5 linked regions of the Callithrix jacchus genome follow. The protein of the gene in region 3 interacts with the protein of the main gene of each other region in a pairwise test. Links are inferred from orthologs where the notes say so. Each region holds a gene or a part of one and is shown on either strand. Other genes may lie near its edges. The genes, in order: MAP1LC3C, GABARAPL2, TAX1BP1, PLEKHN1 and CXXC1.

Evidence for each region.
Region 1: the proteins of TAX1BP1 (region 3) and MAP1LC3C interact in binary tests that used the Homo sapiens proteins (3 or more experiments, as listed by UniProt). The link is inferred for Callithrix jacchus from reciprocal best matches to the Homo sapiens genes TAX1BP1 and MAP1LC3C.
Region 2: the proteins of TAX1BP1 (region 3) and GABARAPL2 interact in binary tests that used the Homo sapiens proteins (3 or more experiments, as listed by UniProt). The link is inferred for Callithrix jacchus from reciprocal best matches to the Homo sapiens genes TAX1BP1 and GABARAPL2.
Region 4: the proteins of TAX1BP1 (region 3) and PLEKHN1 interact in binary tests that used the Homo sapiens proteins (3 or more experiments, as listed by UniProt). The two-hybrid records come from large-scale screens. The link is inferred for Callithrix jacchus from reciprocal best matches to the Homo sapiens genes TAX1BP1 and PLEKHN1.
Region 5: the proteins of TAX1BP1 (region 3) and CXXC1 interact in binary tests that used the Homo sapiens proteins (3 or more experiments, as listed by UniProt). The two-hybrid records come from large-scale screens. The link is inferred for Callithrix jacchus from reciprocal best matches to the Homo sapiens genes TAX1BP1 and CXXC1.

What each region holds. Positions count from the first base shown.
Region 1 is NC_133520.1:43,983,854-43,988,028, forward strand, and holds the start of MAP1LC3C (microtubule-associated protein 1 light chain 3 gamma), read left to right. Parts: upstream 1-1,372; 5' UTR 1,373-1,471; coding exon 1,472-1,529; intron 1,530-1,630; coding exon 1,631-1,686; intron 1,687-1,841; coding exon 1,842-1,948; intron 1,949-3,796; coding exon 3,797-3,995; 3' UTR 3,996-4,175.
Region 2 is NC_133521.1:32,971,097-32,975,256, forward strand, and holds the start of GABARAPL2 (gamma-aminobutyric acid receptor-associated protein-like 2), read left to right. Parts: upstream 1-1,351; 5' UTR 1,352-1,460; coding exon 1,461-1,494; intron 1,495-1,822; coding exon 1,823-1,878; intron 1,879-2,995; coding exon 2,996-3,168; intron 3,169-4,160. UniProt on the Homo sapiens protein: Ubiquitin-like modifier involved in intra-Golgi traffic. Modulates intra-Golgi transport through coupling between NSF activity and SNAREs activation. It first stimulates the ATPase activity of NSF which in turn stimulates the association with GOSR1.
Region 3 is NC_133512.1:30,310,697-30,314,206, forward strand, and holds part of TAX1BP1 (tax1-binding protein 1), read right to left. Parts: intron 3,107-3,510; coding exon 2,882-3,106; intron 2,088-2,881; coding exon 1,941-2,087; intron 878-1,940; coding exon 751-877; intron 1-750.
Region 4 is NC_133508.1:39,187,072-39,191,175, reverse strand, and holds the start of PLEKHN1 (pleckstrin homology domain-containing family N member 1), read right to left. Parts: upstream 2,801-4,104; 5' UTR 2,740-2,800; coding exon 2,657-2,739; intron 2,572-2,656; coding exon 2,472-2,571; intron 1-2,471. Other genes in the region: KLHL17 (kelch-like protein 17), read right to left, coding at 3,774-4,104. UniProt on the Homo sapiens protein: Controls the stability of the leptin mRNA harboring an AU-rich element (ARE) in its 3' UTR, in cooperation with the RNA stabilizer ELAVL1.
Region 5 is NC_133514.1:93,470,247-93,474,300, forward strand, and holds the start of CXXC1 (CXXC-type zinc finger protein 1), read right to left. Parts: upstream 2,801-4,054; 5' UTR 2,692-2,800; coding exon 2,689-2,691; intron 1,959-2,688; coding exon 1,840-1,958; intron 1,740-1,839; coding exon 1,639-1,739; intron 1,362-1,638; coding exon 1,126-1,361; intron 1,033-1,125; coding exon 853-1,032; intron 467-852; coding exon 440-466; intron 363-439; coding exon 117-362; intron 1-116. UniProt on the Homo sapiens protein: Transcriptional activator that exhibits a unique DNA binding specificity for CpG unmethylated motifs with a preference for CpGG.

The sequences.
Region 1 (4,175 bases), on a different chromosome or scaffold from region 3:
AGAGGGGTTGGAGGTTAAATTGATTATCAGTGGCCAACGGTTTAATCAATCTTGCGGATGTACTAAAACCTCTATAAAAACCCAAAAGGCCTAGGGTTCTGATTTTTGTTATGAGAATATAGGAGAAATGGCATTTGTTCCCTCTATGTATGACTAGAGGCCCATTTTCTTAACTCTAAAAGGGAGATCTTGGGGGCAGTTGTTCTTCCTTCCTTCTTTTATCCCAGAGAAAACTAAATGACAAAATATACCTACCAGAGTGTTGTACTTGGACTTCCTTGTGACAACTCTGGGTTTGTTCGGGTTTTTGCTTGTTCGTTTGTTTGAGATGGAGTTCCATTCTTGTTGCCCAGGCTGAAGTGCAATGGTTGGACCTAAGCTCACTGCAACCTCCACCTCCTGGGTTCAAGTGATTCTCCTGCCTCAGCCTCCCAACTAGCTGGGATTATAGGCTCCTGCCACCACACCTGGATAATTTTTGTATTTTTAGTAGAGACGGGGTTTCAGCATGTTGGCCAGGCTGGTCTCAAACTCCTGACCTCAGGTGATCTACACACCTTGGCCTCCCAAGTGCTGGGATTACAGGCATGAGGCACTGCGCCTGGCCGACAACTATGGGTTTTAATCCAAACTGCATCTGTGTAGCTGTGTGCCCTCGGCCAAATCGTTTCACCTTTTTTTTTTTTTTTTTTTTTTTTTGAGGCAAGTCTTACGCTGTTGCCCAAGCTAGAATGCAGTGGTGCAATCTTGACTAATCACAACCTCCACCTCCCAGGTTCAGGCGATTCTCCTGCCTCAGCCTCCCAAGTAGCTGGGATGACAGGTGCTCACCACCATGCCCAGCTAATTTTTGTATTTTTAGTAGAGACAGAGTTTCACTATGTTGGCCAGACTGGTCTCGAACTCCTGACCTCCTGATCTGCCTGCCTCAGCCTCCCAAAGTGCTGGGATTACAGGTGTGAGCCACTGCGCCCGGCCTCACTTCACCTTTCTTAGTATAGGTTTCCTTCTGTGAAAAGGGCACGGACTGTGGTGAGAATTACACAGCACACTTCAGGCTGAGGTGGATCCATCTTGGACTCCTCTCAAGGTGGTTCTCTACTGAAGTACAGAAACGTCGCCAGCATAAGGCAGTTTTACGTCTCCACGGTCCGCTGCCTAGCCAATGATTTTATTACAAACCCTAATTTCTTTTGCAAAGAAACATCTTGAACTGGTCATGAATAAAGTGGCTTTTCTCTGACCAGCAAGTAGGTGGCGATTCCATTTCCACCAGAACTGACCTCGTGCTGCTCGGGGAGGGGGAGGCGGGTGAGCAGAGGCCTGATGTCACTCAGCTCTACATAAGGGCCCCCTGCAGGCTCCTGCAGGCAGTTTGGAAGCAGCTGGAGGAATGAATTAGGTTCCTGGTTGCAGTACTTTTGTTCTTCTTTTCTTTTCTTTCTTAAAACAGACAAAGCTGTTGAGTGAAATGCCGCCTCCACAGAAAATCCCAAGCGTCAGACCTTTCAAGCAGAGGAAAAGCTTGGGTAAATTTCTTGGGGTACCTTTCTGGGTTACTCGAAAGAGAGGAGAGGATCTGGCTTTCTCTTGATGTTTGCTTATTCTCTTGTGCTTGAAATATTCACAGCAATCAGACAAGAGGAAGTTGCTGGAATCTGGGCAAAGTTCCCAAACAAGATCCCGGTAAGACATCATTGTACTTCCCTTGTGGGGGGCGGGGTTCTGAACCTGTCCTTTGAAAAAACCAAGACCAGCCAACAACTTCCCTCTCTCTGTTCCAAGATCCTAAGACTCAGAGAACTCTGAGTCACATTCTTAAGGACTGACGCTCTTGACAGGTGATAGTGGAGCGCTACCCCAGGGAGAAGTTCCTGCCCCGGCTGGACAAAACCAAGTTCCTGGTCCCGCAGGAGCTGACCATGACCCAGTCCCTCAGCATCATCCGGTAGGTGGCGCAGAGCGTGCCCGGGAGGAAGGTGTCGGGGGTGTGTGGGGGCTCTTCTGTTTCCTTCGTTAGGTGGTTTTATTTTGGGGATGGGGGTATGTCAGGGAAAGAGAGGAAAGAGATTTTTTTGAAGTCATCTTTCAGATTCACTAGTGCCCTGAAAAGATGCTCTTAGAATAATTCTATTTTAAATCCGGGTGCACCGACTCATGCCTGTAATCCCAGCACTTTGGGAGGCTGAGGTTACGAATTCGAAAACAGCCCAGCCAACATGGTGAAACCCTGACTCTACTAGAAATACAAAAATTAGCTGGGTGTGGGGGTGCACGCCTGTAATGCCAGCTGCTCAAGAGGCTGAGGCAGGAGAATCGCTTGAACCTGGGAGGCAGAGGTTGCAGTGAGCTGAGATTGCACCGTTGCACTCCAGCCTGGGCAACAAGAGTAAAACTCCATCTCAAAAAAAAAAAGAAAGAAAGAAAAAATTACTCTATTTTATTTTACACAAAGATGGCTGTATAATTGTCAGTGACCAAACCTTTGGGGTTATTTGGGGAGGAGTTATCTGGGTGTAAAATGAATTGGATTCTAGTTACTCCCATCTCCCACTGCTGCATGGACATAGCCCACCTGAAGGCTCAAAGCTCTAAGATAGGAATGGGTGGGCTGTGCCCGCTTCACCAATTAGAGCACCTGGAGGAAGTGTGCTTAAAGTGAGGCCAAGCCTTCACCTAGGCACCTACGTTTTCACACTGCCATCTGCTCCGGGATAACTGGGCACTCAGATTGCCCTTGGCATTTGAAGCGTGTTCAACTAAATATGGCTGCCTTCCTATCGCCTTGATGTGAACGCAGAAATAACACAGGAAGGAAAGGGCACACTTCAAGGCAGGAGATCCCTTCCAAGTGTCATCCTAGGCTGTTCAACAGTGACATGCCAGGCCGGGCGCAGTGTCTCGAGCCTGTAATCCCAGCACTTTGGGAGGCCAAGGCAGGTGAATCACCTGACATCAGGAGTTCAAGACCAGTCTGGCCAACATGGTGAAACTCCGTATCTTCTAAAAATGCAAAAACTAGCTGAATGTGGTGGCACACGGCTGTAATCCCACCTACTTGGGAGGATAAGACAGGAGAATCGCTTCAACCTGGGTGGTGGAGGTTACAGTGAGCTGAGATCACACCATGGCACTCCAGCATGGGCAACAGAGTGAGTGAAATTCCATCTCAAAAAAAAAGTGAGATGCCAGAGAGACTATGTATCACTTTTGTACCCCTGGGGAAACAGCTTTAATTTCATAGCAAACAGAAGTTATTTACTTAACTTTTTTTTTTTTTTTTTTTTTTGAGATGGCGTCTGGCTCTGCCACCCAGGCTGGAGTGCAGTGGTGTGATCTCCGCTCACTGCAACTTCTGCCTCCTGGGTTCAGACAATTCTCTGCCTCAGCCTCCCAAGTAGCTTACAGGTGCCCACCACCACGCCCGGCTAACTTTTGTATTTTTAGTAGAGACGGGGTTTCACCGTCTTGGCGAAGCTGGACTTGAACTCCTGACCTTGTGATTCCCCCGCCTCAGCCTCCCAAAGTGCTGGGATGACAGGCCTGAGCCACGGCGCCTGTCCAGCGCGCTTAGCAGGTTTGTGTCGTCATCTTTCCCTGCTGTGTTTCCTCGTCGTGTTTTGGCATATTTCATCCATGGAATGACCTCACCCTTTTGACCCAACTACGACTCCTTGTAGTTTCTAAATCTCAGGGAAGAAGGAGGGAGCAATTCCCTCTTCTTGAGCGTCATGATGCTGCAGATCCCTGGGCTGCCTCACAGGTCACCCCCTCACCACCCTCCTGCCCACCCCAGGAGCCGCATGGTCCTGAGAGACACAGAAGCCTTTTACTTGCTGGTGAACAACAAGAACCTGGTCAGCATGAGTGCAACCATGGCAGAGATCTACAGGGACTACAAGGATGAGGACGGCTTCGTGTACAAGACCTACGCCTCCCAGGAGACGTTTGGCTGCCTGGAGTCATCAGCCCCCCTGGGATGGGAGCAGCCTTGAGGACAGACCCTGCAATCCTCTCTAGCCCATGTGGGGAAGAACAGGTGCTCTGACAGACGTATCAGCCGCTGGCAGAAGGGATTGGATTTCTCCTGTATGTATATGGAGGAGTCTGAGAAGCAGGGATGCTGGGAGTGATCAGGTCCAGCTATTGGCAGCAGAGTGGTGGCTCTTCCTAGT
Region 2 (4,160 bases), on a different chromosome or scaffold from region 3:
GTAGGAAATGATGAACTAGCATGTTCAAACATACAGGCTTTACAGGTGCATCAGAATCACAAGCATGTGGCAGGGTTCATGTGCCCAAATTAAGTGAATATTCTTGCTACGTGCTCAGCAGCTTATAAACAGATGGTGACCTAGACCAGACTGCCTTGATGACTCTGCTTGGAAGAAAGGCATTACATCACTGGCTGGAGAACCTCAAGGCATATGTCTGGGCAGGTGACACACACAGCTTGGGCTGTGACTGCTAAACCACTCCCACAGCCAAACAAGGAAACCCATCTCATGACCAGCTCTCAGGGGAATTCTCCAAGCCTGACTGTCACCTCTAACTCCTCTGCCAGTTAAGGTTAAAGGGTCTGTGATCAGTTATGTTATACTCTTCAAATGTGCATTTGTTTGTCTGTTTGTTTTTGAGACAGAGTCTTGTTCCCACCCAGGCCATCTTGGCTCACTGCAACCTCCGCTTCCCGGGTTCAAACGATTCTCCAGCCACAGCCTCCCAAGGAGGTGGGACTACAGGTGTGTGCCACCATGCCTGGCTAATTTTTGTATTTTTAGTAGAAATGGGGTTTTACCCTGTTGGCCAGTCTGGTCTCGAACTCCTGACCTCAGGGGATCCTCCTGCCTCGGCTTCCCAAAGTGTTGGGATTACTGGCGGGAGCCACCACGTCCTACCTCGAATGTGCATTTCGTAAATGTTTATTCAAATAGATTCACGAATAAGGGAAGAAAATGGGATTTGTTTAAATTCAATTTCTAGGTCCAAGGCAACCTATTACCGCTGTCCCTAATACTGGACGTCCAGGTTGTCCTCAGTGCTGCTTCCTACACAGTGTCCTCAAACACCACCCCTCCCATACTGTGCCCCCACCCTGTCACCACTCCGAGCAATAACCCCCAAACTGTCAACGCCCAAAACAGCTCCCTTGTCATCGCCAAGCACTAGAGACTCCCCTTAAGTCATTCTTACTCCCAAAGACCGTTCTTGTCACCAATTCCCTATTCAGACCTCCCCTATAAACGCTCTAAGAGCCCTCAACTATCAGCCACACCCCCAAAGAGCCCTCAGAGCCATACACTATCAGCCAGACGCTTCCCGCCACAAACACTCCCGAGACCCCACTCCTGTCACCAGTTCCCCGAACATTTCTTCCTGGGGTCGCCGATATTGCTCACAGACGCCCCCGTAACCAACTTCACCGCCTCCGCAGCCTAGTAGCCCCCAGAAGGAGCCCTCCGTGACTACGTGCGGCCCCGCCCCTTGGCATAGCTTCCTGGCCAGTGGCGCCGGAAGCCCCGCCCCTGACCGGTTGCTAGGCTCCAGCAGCCGGAAGTCCCGCCTGCCGTGTAGTCGCCTCCGTCGCTGCTACCGCCGCCGCCGTTGTTGTTGTGGTCGGTACGCCGAGTTCCACGGCTCCGAGAGCCGGTTCCATCCCCTCCCCGCCGCCGCCATGAAGTGGATGTTCAAGGAGGACCACTCTTTGGGTAAGCACTTGGCCATCGGACCGGCCGCGGGGGGCCGCGGCGGCAGGTGGGCCCCCTCCCCCACTCGGGCGGCCCTGGGCCGGGTGAAGCAGGACGTATGCCGCGCTCCGGGCTCGAGCCGCCAAGGCTCCGGTGCCACGAGCAGCCGTCCCTCGACCCCGCGTCACTCTCCGCGGACCCCCCTGGGAGCTAGGGGACAGGACCGCGGCCGTGGGGACGCCGGAACGAGGGCCTGGGCTGTGCGCAAGGCGCAGGAGGAGGAGGGCCGAGGGCCCGGAACCGACCTGTGGGCAGGCGCGGCCGTCAGCCCTGTTTGTTTCTGCCACAGAACACAGATGCGTGGAGTCCGCGAAGATCCGAGCGAAATATCCTGACCGGGTTCCGGTGAGTGATTGGACTCTCCGCCCCCTCACCTCGCTGTCACCTCTGTCATCTGGGAGCCGTGATAGGCCCTAGGCCATTCAACAGTTGACAAGTTGAGGTTCCATTCCCAGTTGTAGTAGAGGACGGGCCAGACTGCGATGAGGCCGCCCAGGGCCGGGGCGTGAGGGGCTCGGGCTGGTGCTGTTCAGGGTGCCTCAGTGCTGAATCTCCGGATCTAGGCCAGCGAGAGCTGTCTGCAGCCTCGGGGCTCCCTGGCCAATTATGTAAGGAACGATGTTCTAGGACAGGGCAACAGGTCACTGCCACTTTTGGGAACGGTGGTGGAGGGAGACTGTCACTTTGGTCTTGGAAGTGGTACTTGAGTCTCAGGACCTTCACCTTTTACTTGGAGCCTCCATCTTTACCCAAATTCTGGCTCCGTTGCCTCACCTTGACCCTGTCATCCCTGCCTGACCAAAACAATGTGAGAAGCCGCTGAAAACCCTTTTCTGTTATGCTTTCTTCCTAGTCAGTAGTAAATATATTTTTTCCATGTTTGGGGAGATAGTTTTGTAATTCTTGTTAATTTTTAATGGACATTAAGGCCTGTTATTGTAGCTCTTTGCTTGTGAATAATTCCGTTGGGGGAAGGAGGGACGGATTTGAAACTTGTTCAGAGAAGAGCAACAGGCCAAATGAAGAGCTTGGTTCTTGGCTGGCTGAAATTCCAGGCATTCCCATTAGTCCATCTGTTCTTGTCTCCTGTGTTCCTTGGGAACACAGTAGTGTTTCCTGTAGTGTGAAGGGGATCCATTCTGGGGTCCTGGAGTAATGGGCTATGGATGTGGATCCCCACATATTCTTAGGTCTGCCCAGATAAAATGTGGAAAAGCTTAGTAGTAAGGGCTGCATTTTTCTTACATAACTGACCACAGAAAAGCACTTACCGTTTCCCTATAACCCATTTATATCAATTCTTAACCTCCAGAGCATGTGGTTATTAAGCCAAAGACATATTTTCTCCTGCTATGCAGTTTCCCACCCACCTCCTTGCCCACACTCTGTTCCTCAGCTCCTCAGCCTTGAGGCCAGAGCCTGGCTTTAGAAACCCAGTCCTGACCTCTCTTTATTTTCCCAGGTGATTGTGGAAAAGGTCTCAGGCTCTCAGATTGTTGACATTGACAAACGGAAGTACTTGGTTCCATCTGATATCACTGTGGCTCAGTTCATGTGGATCATCAGGAAAAGGATCCAGCTTCCTTCTGAAAAGGCGATCTTCCTGTTTGTGGATAAGACAGTCCCACAGTCCAGGTGAGAGGTGTTTACTAGATGGGTCCTCTGGTGTTAGACATCTGGTTGGCTGCTTAGAGAACTCAAAAACTTTGGAGGTCTGAAAACTCTTGGGGGTTCTGACTAGAAATCTGGATTTTGTGCTCCCTGACATCAGGGGCTCCAGGAAAATAACGGCTGCAATACATAAGGGTGCATTTTAGATTCGGAAAATAGAACAAGGCCTGGACTTCTAAAAAAGGGATGAAACTCAGCCTGAGACCTCCAAGAATCTTTTAAAACATTGAGGACTTATTTAGGCTTAAGCCATAGGTAGAACTGATGCCTGAAATGAGGTTTTCTTCCCTGAAGACAGTCTGGCCACTCTCCTCCACTGGGAACCTGTGGGTTCTGCTGAGGCTTACTCAGTTAATCAAGCGGTTTGCGTGCTCCCAAACTTCGTCAGCTCTCTGCCATTGTAAGAGTCTATAGCTGTCTGATCCTCAAGTCTGACAAAATGACTGCAGCACAGTAAAGGGCTCTGAAGTCTCTTTACAGACTTAAACCTTCCTTGGTAGCACCTGCTTTGACTGTCAGACTATGGTGCTGCCTGGAAGCAGTCTTTGGGAGTGTAACTTGCAGCCCGAATGTAGGCAGGGGCATTAGAATTTCCATTTTCTGTGTATTTGACAGCCCAGCTTTAGTCCCCTCTGGAATGAGGAAAATGGACAGGCTCCGTCTAAGCTCCTGGTCAGTCCTTTCCTGTTACTGAGTGGGTAGTTCTAGGCTCTGATCCAGATTCTGGCCCTCACCTCTCCCCTGAGTGTGAGTTCCTGGCCACATCTTACCTTAGTGACCCAAAGTAGGTTTCATTTACCACCCCCAGAAGTAATACTTCTAAAAGTGAAGGCTTTCAGAAGCCCTGGGAACTAGCCCAATGTTGCCCAGATAGGTTCCTGTTGAAAATCCTTGAAGACTTCCTAAGAGGCCCGTGCCAAATTCCAGACTTTATTTCTGTTAAAGGTGGAAAGCTC
Region 3 (3,510 bases):
TAGTCTAAGATGTTTACATTTAAAAAGACTTAAAACATCAATTACTCTACACACTAAACAAGAAAATATACTTTCTCTAGTATTTAATGTCATTATTGTCAAATTTACATAAAGGTGAAAAAAATCAGGACAGATGAAAACCTAGTTAATCCAAATTTTCATGCTATTCATGTTTTTACTATGTCTCTCTAATCTGTTCTATAACTTAATAAAGTAATAAAAACAATTTAAAACTTCATAAAAAGTAATAAAAACTCATCAGCCAACAGGTACACTAACGAGGGAAGAAGTACCCTATTGATACAAAGCAGCCAAAAATTAATAAACAGAAAAACATGAGAACAGGGGATTTTTTTCCCCTGCAGAATTTAAAAATTAAAATGCCACAAATAAAATGCTTCACAATTCCATAGATTTAATGAAATATAAAGTAAATATTCAATTCGTGGCTTTTGTCCTATGTAGCCCAAATGAGTATTCACAAGCACCAGCTCATTTTTAACATGTGTGAATAATCTCAAGAAGATAACTACTAGTTTACATTCGTATTTTATATATGAAAGTTTTGTACATTCACCACATGCATGACTCTATTTTACATTTATGCCCTTATTTTCCCTTTGCCTCAATTTCCTCACTCATCCCATGAGGATTTTTATGAACATCCTGAAATTCTTACACATGAAAGAAAGCAGTATAAGTACTTTTCAATATAGGACATCCTACACAAAAAGTCTAAATGATTTTTACCTGCAGAAGGTGATGATGGCTTTACATCTACAGTAGAGGCAGAAGTGGCTGGGTCTGTGTTTACTGAAGCATCATTTACTTTCTGCTGACTCCCCATTTTCTTTGTGAAGACATTATTATTATTAGCCTATTCAAAACATTAATAAGTTGTTAAAATGATTCAATGAATTAGTTATATTTCCTTCTTGCAGTAACTATGTAAATATTATTTTTACATATTACTTTAGAAAATCCTAAGAAGTCTACAAGGCTGCTCTTGTTTTAAAAGCCAACAAAGACTAACATTATACACATCATTTTCCTGAAATGTTGAAAAATAAATATATTTTGCTTTTTCTTATAAACTCATCAAAACACCACCAAAATAAGTCATTCAAAGAAATCTACTAAAAGTTATAATGTGCTCAAAAAGCCCCAAGCCAAATTTATAGATGTGAGTGAGTCTTACTTAAAGTACCGTATTTTTTCACAAAAGCCTTCCTACTTTACTACATGTATTCCTTGTTTCTTTGTCACCTCTGATAAGTAAGACCAGGAAAGTATCACATGCATCATATAGTAAAAGAGAGCTATAGTACCACTTTCAACTTCAAGTTTTAAATATGTTCCTTCTACATTTCCAGGAGTTCCTCAGATAGCAAGCCTGTATTTAAGTACAATTTAAGGATCCACATTGAAACATACATATCTCAAAACAAAAGAATTTTCTTTGCCATATTAAAAATCTACCTACCTATTCTCAAATGGAATACAAAAGAATTAACTAATACTCTTTACTTCTTCCTAAAGACATGACTAGAAAGAACTTGCCAATGACAACTGAGAAACCATCTAAGACCCTAGGGATGATTAATGGTGAACTCCAGTGAGAATAAATGTCATTGTCACAAGAGTCAATAATATGTGTTGAGTTTTAAGTGACAAAGATATTCATCAAGAATTTAAAAGGGAAATGATCTAGAAAAAAGGACTCGCTCTCTCCTGCCCTTGTTTCCTTTGTTGGCTGTCCAGTAAATTAAAATTCCAGATTTTTTTTTAAAGAAGAATTATTACAATATTATGCCAATGACTTGAAATCAAGCAGAGATAAATTATATTTAAAAGATTGACATTTAGAATATTATAAATTTGATTTTCAAACAAAAATATTAACAAAATATTTTACTATGTGTAAATTTAATGATACTTACTGATTGATCTGAAAGTTTGTTTATTTGTTTTTGGAGTCTTTGGCATTCCTTAAATTTTTCTTTATAATGATCTGCAGCCATCTGAAGACGGAGTTTCAGATCTTCAACTTCTCTTCTTAGTTCATGTTCCAGTGTATCAGTCTTGTCCTAAGAAAGAAACAAACATTCTAAGAAAAAAATTAAAATCTGACACCTCCTCCTAATGTTAATAGTAACCCCAACTTCATTCTTACCTTTTTTCTTCTTTTTAAGACAGGGTCTTACTCTATGACCCAGGCTGAAACACAGTGGCCCAATTATGGCTCACTGCAGCCTTGACCTCCAAGCTCAAGCAATCCTCTTGCTTCAGCCTCCTGAGTAGCTAGGACTACAGGTACACATCACTATATCTGGCAAATTTTTAAAATTTTTTTGTAGAGATGGGGTCTCACTATGTTGCCCGGGCTGGTCTTGAACTCTTAAGCTCAAGCCATCTTCCCATCTCTGCCTCCCAAAGTGCTGAGATTATAGGTGTGAGCCACTGCCCTGGCCACTTTTTTCTTTATTTTGGGATTTTGGCTACAGAACAACATAGGGTCTTCTTAAGTCCAGTTTTACATTCTTAAGACTAAGGTTCATTTAAAAAACTAGAAAAAAATGGTTAATTCTCTTAACCATAATACTGTTTTATATAGCTAGTAAGGAATTCCAAACAAGGCAATATCTGACATCAATATATTCAATTAATAATAGGGCAGCTTTCACCAATTATTAAGAATTTTGCTCAAGTAAGTTTTTCTTACAGCATACATTAACAGCAAGCCAAGAAGTTACAATAACTAAACAAAAGGAATGAAAATTTAAAATTCTGATAAGAAATCTGACTTATTTTAATTTACTCTTTTGTGAGATTACAGTGGTTTTTAAAATTAAAATGCAAATTCAAAATTAACTTGCTTTACCTGATCTTTCTTCATAGCATTTAGTTGAAGTTCTGCCACTGCATCAGCTAACTGCTTTTTCACGTTCTCATTTTCCAAGCGTGCAGTATGCAGGTCTGCCATTGTTCTGTCTCGGACATTGACAGCATCACTAAGTTCCTTAGCCAGAAAGACAACTTCTTGCCGAGTTGCCTGAACCTGTTCTTCTGCTTTACGAAGCTGCTCCTTTAAAAAAAAAGTATCTTCCTGAAGAAAGCAAATAAATATATTTGTAATTCAACCATTCAAGTAAAAAACAAAAGCAGAAACAATTTTTACACATATTTCAAAAGAGCCAAAATTTTAGATATTGGTTTTTCTACTCATGACTTACAGAGTGTAGGCCTACAAAAAACTTAAGAAGTAACTTTGTTTTAGTTCCCTCTATAATACTGTGTACTCAGTTTCACTGCTACTGCTTTATACAGAGGAAGCTAAAGTACAGGGAGTCAGGCCACACATCCCGTGCTTAAGGACCTGCCCAAACTGAGGCTCAAACAACACATCGCATCCCCCAGAATCTCTCCAGCTAGAAATACTGACTCTCATTTTGTATGACAACCAGTAAAAATAATTCGAAAGGCTTCTTTGCAACACCAAAATTTTTGGTT
Region 4 (4,104 bases), on a different chromosome or scaffold from region 3:
ACATACACGGGGCACATGTATGCAAACATACATGTGCAGATGTGCATACACACACATAAACATTTTTGCACACATACATTCACATACATGCATACGCACATACACACACACAGACACTCTTCCCCACACAGAGCTGCCTGGTGGAGATGAGATTGAGATGTGGACTCAGTGGATTAAACCGTATCTTCACTCTTTCCTAAGACGTGTAATATGGCTGTGGTTATTCAACCTCTGAAGACTGGTTAAAAGAATTTGGGGGTGTGTGGGGGAAGTAACACCTAAAACTCTCTCGTGTCTGCAGTATTGGCCGGTAAATGTTTAGCACCTGGTTTTACAAACACACACGCACACCAAGGACCTGATTGATAACGCTTGCCAATTTCCTCAGTGTAAATGTCCCCACTGCCAGCCATTTCCAGCCCCCAGCCTGAGAGAAAGATATGAGGAGATTTCTGGAATCCATCCCCTGGGCGTGTGCCGGCCGCTCCCCAAGCTTCACTCGGGTGACAGCCAGGTCTTGGCAGTGCCCCAAGGGGTCTCCGTAGCTGCCTCTGCCTCACTGTCTCCTCACCTCAGGCCCAAGCTCTTCGGGACCACTCAGCCCTCACCCTAACCCTTACCCACTTTACAGCTTTGCTCTAACCTCACCTGTTCTAAGAGGCCCTTTTCTGAAAGTCCTAAAATTCCAGCCTTCCCGAGCCTCTGCACCTGGCCCCTCTATTTTTCTCCTTAGCGCCAACCCCACCCCACTTGCGGTATCTTCTATTTGTCCCATCACGTGTCTGCTGTGGGAATGAGAGCACCAGAAGAACAGGGGTTTCTGTCTCGTTCACTGCTGTGTCCCCAGAGCCTAAGATGGGGCCTGGGATGTGCTGTGGGCACCCACAGGGTGCTGACAGGGACGGAGGAATCTATATTCACCCACATTCAGCCAGTCCTGGCACACAGTCCTCTACAGATGGAGGCTGGAATCACCAACTTAGGGATCGGAAAGGGCATGGGCTTGAACCTGGGGCTGGAGAGCTTTGTGACCTATCCACAGGCTCAGGGGCAAGTGGGTAGGTGTCCTGCTCCCTCTAGGAGCTGCTAAGGGCTACCTGTAGGGCTGCTGTGCCCTGGCCAAGCTTAGCTGCCCCTGAGCAGGCCCAGGAATGTGAAGGGACAGATGCGTGGCTTCCCCGGCCTCCTGCCTCTGGGTGGGGCCTCCTGTGCCCACACCCAGCATGGGAACTGATGCCGGGCTGGCACCCATGAAAAACAGGCCACAAATCAGGAAGGGCCACACAGCTGGTCCTGCAGCCCAGCTCAGCCTTGGGGCCCTGAGGAGGACGCAGCCTGGAGCAGTGGCAGGGCCAGTTCACAGCACGGGTGCAGAGCCCAGGCACAGGGTGGAGGTGAATGGCTCTAGGACAAACCCAAAACTCCTCCCCCAGCCCCATCTTCTGAGATTCAGCAGGTTTTTCCCTCTCCGGCTACCATGTCCTGGCAAGGGAGGACCACCAGGGTCACCATACCTCATAGGACCCTACCAGGGTCACACTGCACATCCTGGGCTTGGACAGAGAGAGTGTGGTGGCTCAGATGCAGCCAGAGACCCCCTACCCCTGACCCAGCCCGGCTCTGCTCCCTGCCCACGCCTCTGAGATAGCATGTTTCTGAAGCCTGCCCCTATCTGCAGGGTGCCCTGAAACTCGGGGGGTCAGGAGAGGCTACGGCACAAGCTTCCTGCCTGGTGGGCCATGGTGGGAAGGGATCTGTACAGTGCAGGGCAGAGGTCCTCCCCCTAGATCCCCCTGGGGCCCATATAGCAGAGCCCACCCATCCAGGTTGCCCGAGGGGGCTGCAGTGGGAATTCCTGTCTGCCCTGAAGCCCAGATTCCTCCTCCTGTTCCCTCAACCCAGCACCGGCCGCGTCTCAAAGGGGCTGGGTGTCTCTATCCTGTGAAGACCCTCAGTACCCCGGGCCCCGCAGGGTGGGTGTGGGCCGTTTACACTCCTTCCATGGCGAGGTGGCCGCGTGTGGGCCAGGGAAATACCTCCTTGCTGCGAGGATTTGGCAGGCTGGGAGGAGGCCTGAGCAGTGCGCACAGTTGCTGTGGACCAGGCGGCCAGCCAGCAGCAACTTCCTGCGAGACGCCGGTGGGGAAACTGAGGCCGGCGTAGGTGACCGGAGGGCTCACTGCTCTTCTGAGGCCTCTTACTCCCCATGGACGCTACCAGCACGACCCCAGCCCCACTGCAACAGCCGAGATGTGCGTGCTGGTACCCCGCCCGGCCCGCCCCGCCCCGCCCAGCGCGCTCCGACTGACTCAGTCCCGCGTCTCGGTTTCGCTCTCCGCTCAGACTTTCGGCCGGATGAACTCCCCGGGGCGGGGCTGCTCCTCACCTGGGGGGGTCTGACTCCCCCGAGCCGGGCCGAGGGAGGCGCGGCGCACATGCACAGGCAGAGCCGTTCCCCGCCCGCCGCTCACCATGCCCGGGATGTAGTGGAAGAGCTTGTCGGCGGCGGTGTCCCCGCTCCCAGCGGCCTCGGGGCCCAGCAGAATGGCCGGCTTCCGCGCACTGTCCTCTCTGGGGACGAGGGAAGGGCTCACGGGCTGGACCCGGAGCAGGCGGAGGAGCCCCGCGCCCAGGTGGCCGCGCCCATGCCCCTCACCTGTTTCCCTTCAGCGAGGGCTTCCTGGAGAAGGAGGCCCGGAGCCTTCTGGGGGCCTGCGGGACGCAGTGGCTGTTCCCCATGGCCGAGTCACAGGTTGGCAGGTCTGGGTCCCCTTCCACAGCCTTCTGCTGCCGCCTCCCTGGGGCAGGCGGGGCTGTGGGACGTCCCACCTGGCACTGAGGGCTGGGCCAGGGTGGAGCCTTTCTGGAAGGGGCCTGGCCCTACCTGAGCCATCCGGGTCTCTGCCCTGGGCCCACCACACCGAGAGGCCAGCCTTGGGGCGAGCACCCCTCTGGCCCAGACAAGGCCTCCAGTGTGCAGGGAGTCCCCACTTGCCTGTGCTTGGCTTGGCGAACCCTGGCTGCCCCCAAGAACCATGTGGGCACACATCCCATTTCCATCTACACCCTGGCAGGCCTGAGTCACCCCAGCCTCTCCTCCTGTGTGGCCTCCTCACCACAGGCCTGAGGAAGGATCCCCAAGGTTTAAGGAGACCCAGAAGGCCACATGCTCCCTAGGCAGCCAGGACAGTTGGGGTACACGGGGGCAACGCTGTTCTGCCTGGCCCCACCCCCAGACCTCGGCCTCAGGACCCAGCCCTGGCAAACCCCACTCACAGCTGGGGACTGGCCACAAGGACTCCATGGCCCCAACCCACCCCCCCACCATGCACAGCTCTACCTTTCAGCCCTCAGAGGCTCACGCAGCAATTCAGACCCCACCCCCCACCCCAACAGGACCCAAGTTGTGCAGGTGCCCCACAAGCCAGAGAGATGCTCGGCCTCAGGCCTGAGGAGCCCAGGAAATGTGTTTATTGTTCAAGTTGGCTTGTATTGCTGTGTAGGGTCCGTGTGCACGTGTGCACCCACTACAAGACCCAGGGAAGACAGCACGTGGCGTGGCAGACAGGACCCTGCTCCCATCCTTCCCAGGACCCCCATGTGCAAGTGAGGACCGTGTGCAACAGCTGAGTCTGCAGCTGCTTGGAAGGCCCCAGGACCTCGTGCTCCTCGGCCTGCAGGGTCTGAGCAGGCGGTGGCCCTGGGGCAACGAGTGGGTGGGAGGACACAGAGGACTAAACGCTCAAGGTGTAAAGGAGCGGCTGCAGCACCACTCAGCCCTCAATAAATAAATAAACAACTAAACACAGACAAAAAGGAATGGTCGGAAGATGCGAACAGATGGTGCAGGGCGTCCCTGGTGGGGGCCATGGCCCCCTTAAGGCATGTGGGAGGCTGCGGGACTCTGGCAGTGGCTGGGTCAGAGGCTGGTGGAGGACACGGAGAGCGTGGGCGAGGATGGTGGCGGAAAGTTGAGCAGCTCCAGCACCGCGACGCCCACGCTGCTGCGCCGGGTGAACATGCAGGAGGCAGCCACCCACTTGTTGGTCCTCGGGTTGTACTTCTCGATGGAGTTGAGGCTGGAGCTGCCATCGTTGCCCCCGA
Region 5 (4,054 bases), on a different chromosome or scaffold from region 3:
CCCACCACCTACTCATGTCCCAAATCAGCCTTCCATACCCTCTGTCTCCTCATTAGAGATACTCTCTGCTTCTGTCACCTCCACCCTTCCACCAGGGGATGCGCCTGTCTGCTCACCAGGCCATGGTCATCAAAGGCCCCTGCACAGAAATCCTGATACAGGTCAGGATCCAGAGGTAGGTCCTCATCTGAGAGTGGCTCAGGCGTGGCTGTAGCCTCAGGAGGCTCCTTGACTGCTGATGACGCCACTGCCCCCTCATCTTCACGGATGCGCCCTAACTTCTGTGACGGCTGTGGCTGCTGTTGGGTGGGCAGTGGCCGACGGGGCCTTGGCAGGGACTCTGAGGGCGTCACTGGCGAGAGCTGCAGGGCAGAATCTCAGGACTGGCCCTGACCGCCCTGCCCACATGCCCCGCCCTGCCCTGGGGGGCTGGACTCACCGAGGAAGGGAAGTACTTGTACGATTCCTGTGCCGGCAGGAGGAAGGCCCAGGTCAGCCCCAGGTGGATGGAGTGTGGCCTTGTCCTAGCCCCACCCACCTGGCCTGGCCTTGCCTCCCTAGACATACCTCCCCGCTATCCCTCATTACCAGGACATGCTCAGCCCTGCCTGATCCTCACTGACATGCATGACCAACTGGAAACACCTGGCCCCACTCTGTCCACCCAGGGTTAGTGGGGTTTCTGCCAGCCCAGCATACCTTGTCATGCCCCATTCATCTGGACATGACAGGCCTCTTTCCACCTATCTAGTCAGGCACAATCCCACCTGGCCCATGCCTAGACTTAACTAACCCTGCATGGACCCACCAGCTCTCCCACACCTGACCCTACCCAGCTCTGTCCATGCTCACCCGGGCCCGCAGCTGGCACTGGCGCAGCCGGCATTTCTGCCGGATCTTGTTGGGGCCTCCAAACTTTTTCATGTCCCGACAGAAATCACAGTGACCACAGTCCTCAGTGCGCCGACATGCCTCGCACTCACCACACATGCGGGCTGACCGTTTGATCTGCTGCTGCTGCTGCTGCTGCTGCTGGAGGAGGGGGCCCAGAGAAGAAATCACCGACCCAGGCAGGGCCAACATGGAACCACTTTACACATCCACGCACTTTATACAGCCACTCACCTGGCTGGGTGTGGCCACCAAGGGCTGCGGAGAGGATTTGTGGGGTGAAGCAGAGCCCCGAGCAAGCATGGCCCCAACCCCTGTCCCTGACCCTGCCCGACGCTGCAGGTCTGGATCCGGGACAGGCCTCTTGCGCCCTCCACCCTCATCCCGGGGCTCGCTGCCATCCCGCTCATTGCCATCCCGCTCCCGTGACTTCTTGTGCCGATAGCGAATCTCTAGCTTGGGGTCCTTCTCTGTGGGGCAGAGAGTAGGGATAAGGTGAGCATGGAGGGCATGAATGGTTCCAAAACCTCTTTATTCCCCTTTTCTCCCTTACTGTCCCACTTACCTATTCACCTCTGTACACGACAGAGCTGCCCCTTCCCGTGGGGTCTTCTATTACCACTCACAATGCAGCCCCCATTCCAGCTCACCACAGACATGTATTACTACTCCCCATTATCCCCCACTGTGGCTCCCCCACCGCCTCTGAAGCCCCTCCTGACTTCCTTGTCCATGCATGGCCCTCACCTCGGCACTCCCGACAGTACCACTCCCGGATGGCCTTGGCCATCTTCTCAGTGATCCGGATGCAGTCCCCATGGAACCACTCATTGCAGTTGTCACACCCGCTGCAGAGGATGGGACAGGTGGTGAATATGTAAGGGGCACAGCCAATGGACCTTACCCCACCCTGCCAGTGTCAGTCCCGCCCACCTCTCCCGGGCTCACATCATGAAGCAGTTGATGTCCGGTTTGCGACAGATGCAGTAAATGGGCGCATTCTCCCCATTCTCCGACTTGCTGTCCTCCCCAGCATCTGGAGGCTCTGGGTCTGAACCATCACCCTCCTGCGGGACACCCCCATTACGGCTCTTTAAACAGCCCCCACCGTGGCGGCTCATCCCAGCATTACAGCTCCATCATGGTCAGCACGGATCCCCACTCTGCCTGCAGATTTCCCATCGGGGCCCCCAAAAAACCTCTCCATCACAGTCCCCACTGACTCCCATCCCTTCCCCTGACATCCCATTACTCGGCTTCATACTTCCCATCACACACCCACAGGCACCCGCTCCCTCTGTCTACACTCACTGGCGGGTCATCGAGACCCAACATCGTGGCGCCTCACAGACCCCGCCTAACTCACTCCTTGAACTTCCCATCACGGTTCTCCACGCATCCCTCCCTGTTTACTTCACAGACCCTCCCGGCACCCGCACCCCCAGTCTCAGCTGTCTACGGATCCCCGGCCAGGGACTCTTCCTCAGCACGGCTCACCACAGACCGCCCAAAGTGATTCCTCACAACCCCCTTATCCCTCTGCCCAAAGAACCCCCAATCATGGTTTCCCACGGAACTACCGGGTACCCGGAGTCCCCACTAAACTTCTATTACGGACCCCCACCGTGGCTCACCATAGAATTCCCAGATGGCTCATCATTCTGCCCATAGACTCCCGCCGTTCTGTCCAGACTCCGGTTATCGCTCACCACAGACCCCCTAGTCGGCCGACAGACCCCGAGGTTGCCAACCCCACTGACCTCCGCCGCCGAATCCCTCACTAGACGCGGTACTCACCATATCTCCGCTCCCGGCGCACTCCTTCAGGACCCCGGCCGCGACCCGCGAACCTACACAGACCCCCTCAGCGGCGTTCCAGGCGGTTGCAAAGGCGCCCACAACTACTTCCGCTTCTGGTCACGCCTCCCAGGCAGCGTACTCCTGTTGCGCAGGCCCCGTGAGTCGTCTCCGCCGCAAACCATTAGGCGCCGCCATCTTGATTACGTATCCGTATGGTGGCCGGATCCATACCATCGCCGGGAACATGGCTGCGCTCAATCCTGGCTTTCGCGATGGGGCCGCCACCTTGTCAATAGAGTCCGTACGGTGGCTGCTGGTACTGTCTCGACGTACAGGTAACATGGCTGCATCTACTGCGTGACTTCCTCACAGATGCCGTCATCTTGGAATCTGATTCCGTACGTGGGTCGAATTAGTACGGTCCTAGAAGACACATGGCGGCGACCTAATTGCGGATTCCACAAGGGCGCCGCCATCTTGATGGTTGATTACGTACACTGGCCGCTTGTCAGAGAGATTCACAGGTAAAGCTGCCGCTCCCGAAACACTACCTGGATCAAGTCTTATTCATTCCTCCATTCAGTCTCTTTCTCTATCCACATGCGTTAATGGGGCGTCGACAGGCTATATACCTTCCGCGGTGGAGGAAACCAGTTCTTCTGTCGTCTCCGACTTCACCTGCCACCACTCTTTCCGGATCTCACTCCTCCCACTTGTCATTCTTCTGCCAGGCCTGGCACGGTTCAGCTTCTATTTATTTTATTTTTATTTAAAAACAGTTCTAAAACTAACATCAAATCTTATTTTAGTTCTATAAGCTGCACAATAAGCCTAAGCACAGTTTACTTACCCATTTCTTTGTTGCTTAGCATTTAGAACATTTTCAAATGTTATTGTAAATAAAGTTGCAATGAACATTCTTAAACATAGATCGGTATGCTCATTCCTGATTATCTCTTGTGAAATATGATATACAAAACGATGTCACTCTGGTTAAGAGCTGTAAAATGGAGCCTGGAAGCCATTCTAAGGACTCCCCGCAAACTTGCAAAAAGGAAAACAAACCAAAACTAAAACACAACAGGAATTTGCCTCGAACCTTTGAATTGGTCCAAACTACAACGACCACACGGTCCTGGAAACCAGCTATATTTCACCAGTGCTGCGTCTCCTGAACAAAACCAATGAACTATAGACTCATGCTGGCCAGCTGCCTCCAGCAATAATAATTCCTTTAAAAGAATTTGTGTAATCATCCTTAATTTCCTTTTTATTTTTCTTTAAAACTCCTACTCCCATTTCTCTCTTTGGAGCACAATCTGACTTTGAGCTGAATCTGGGTCTCCTGAATTGCAGTTCCTAT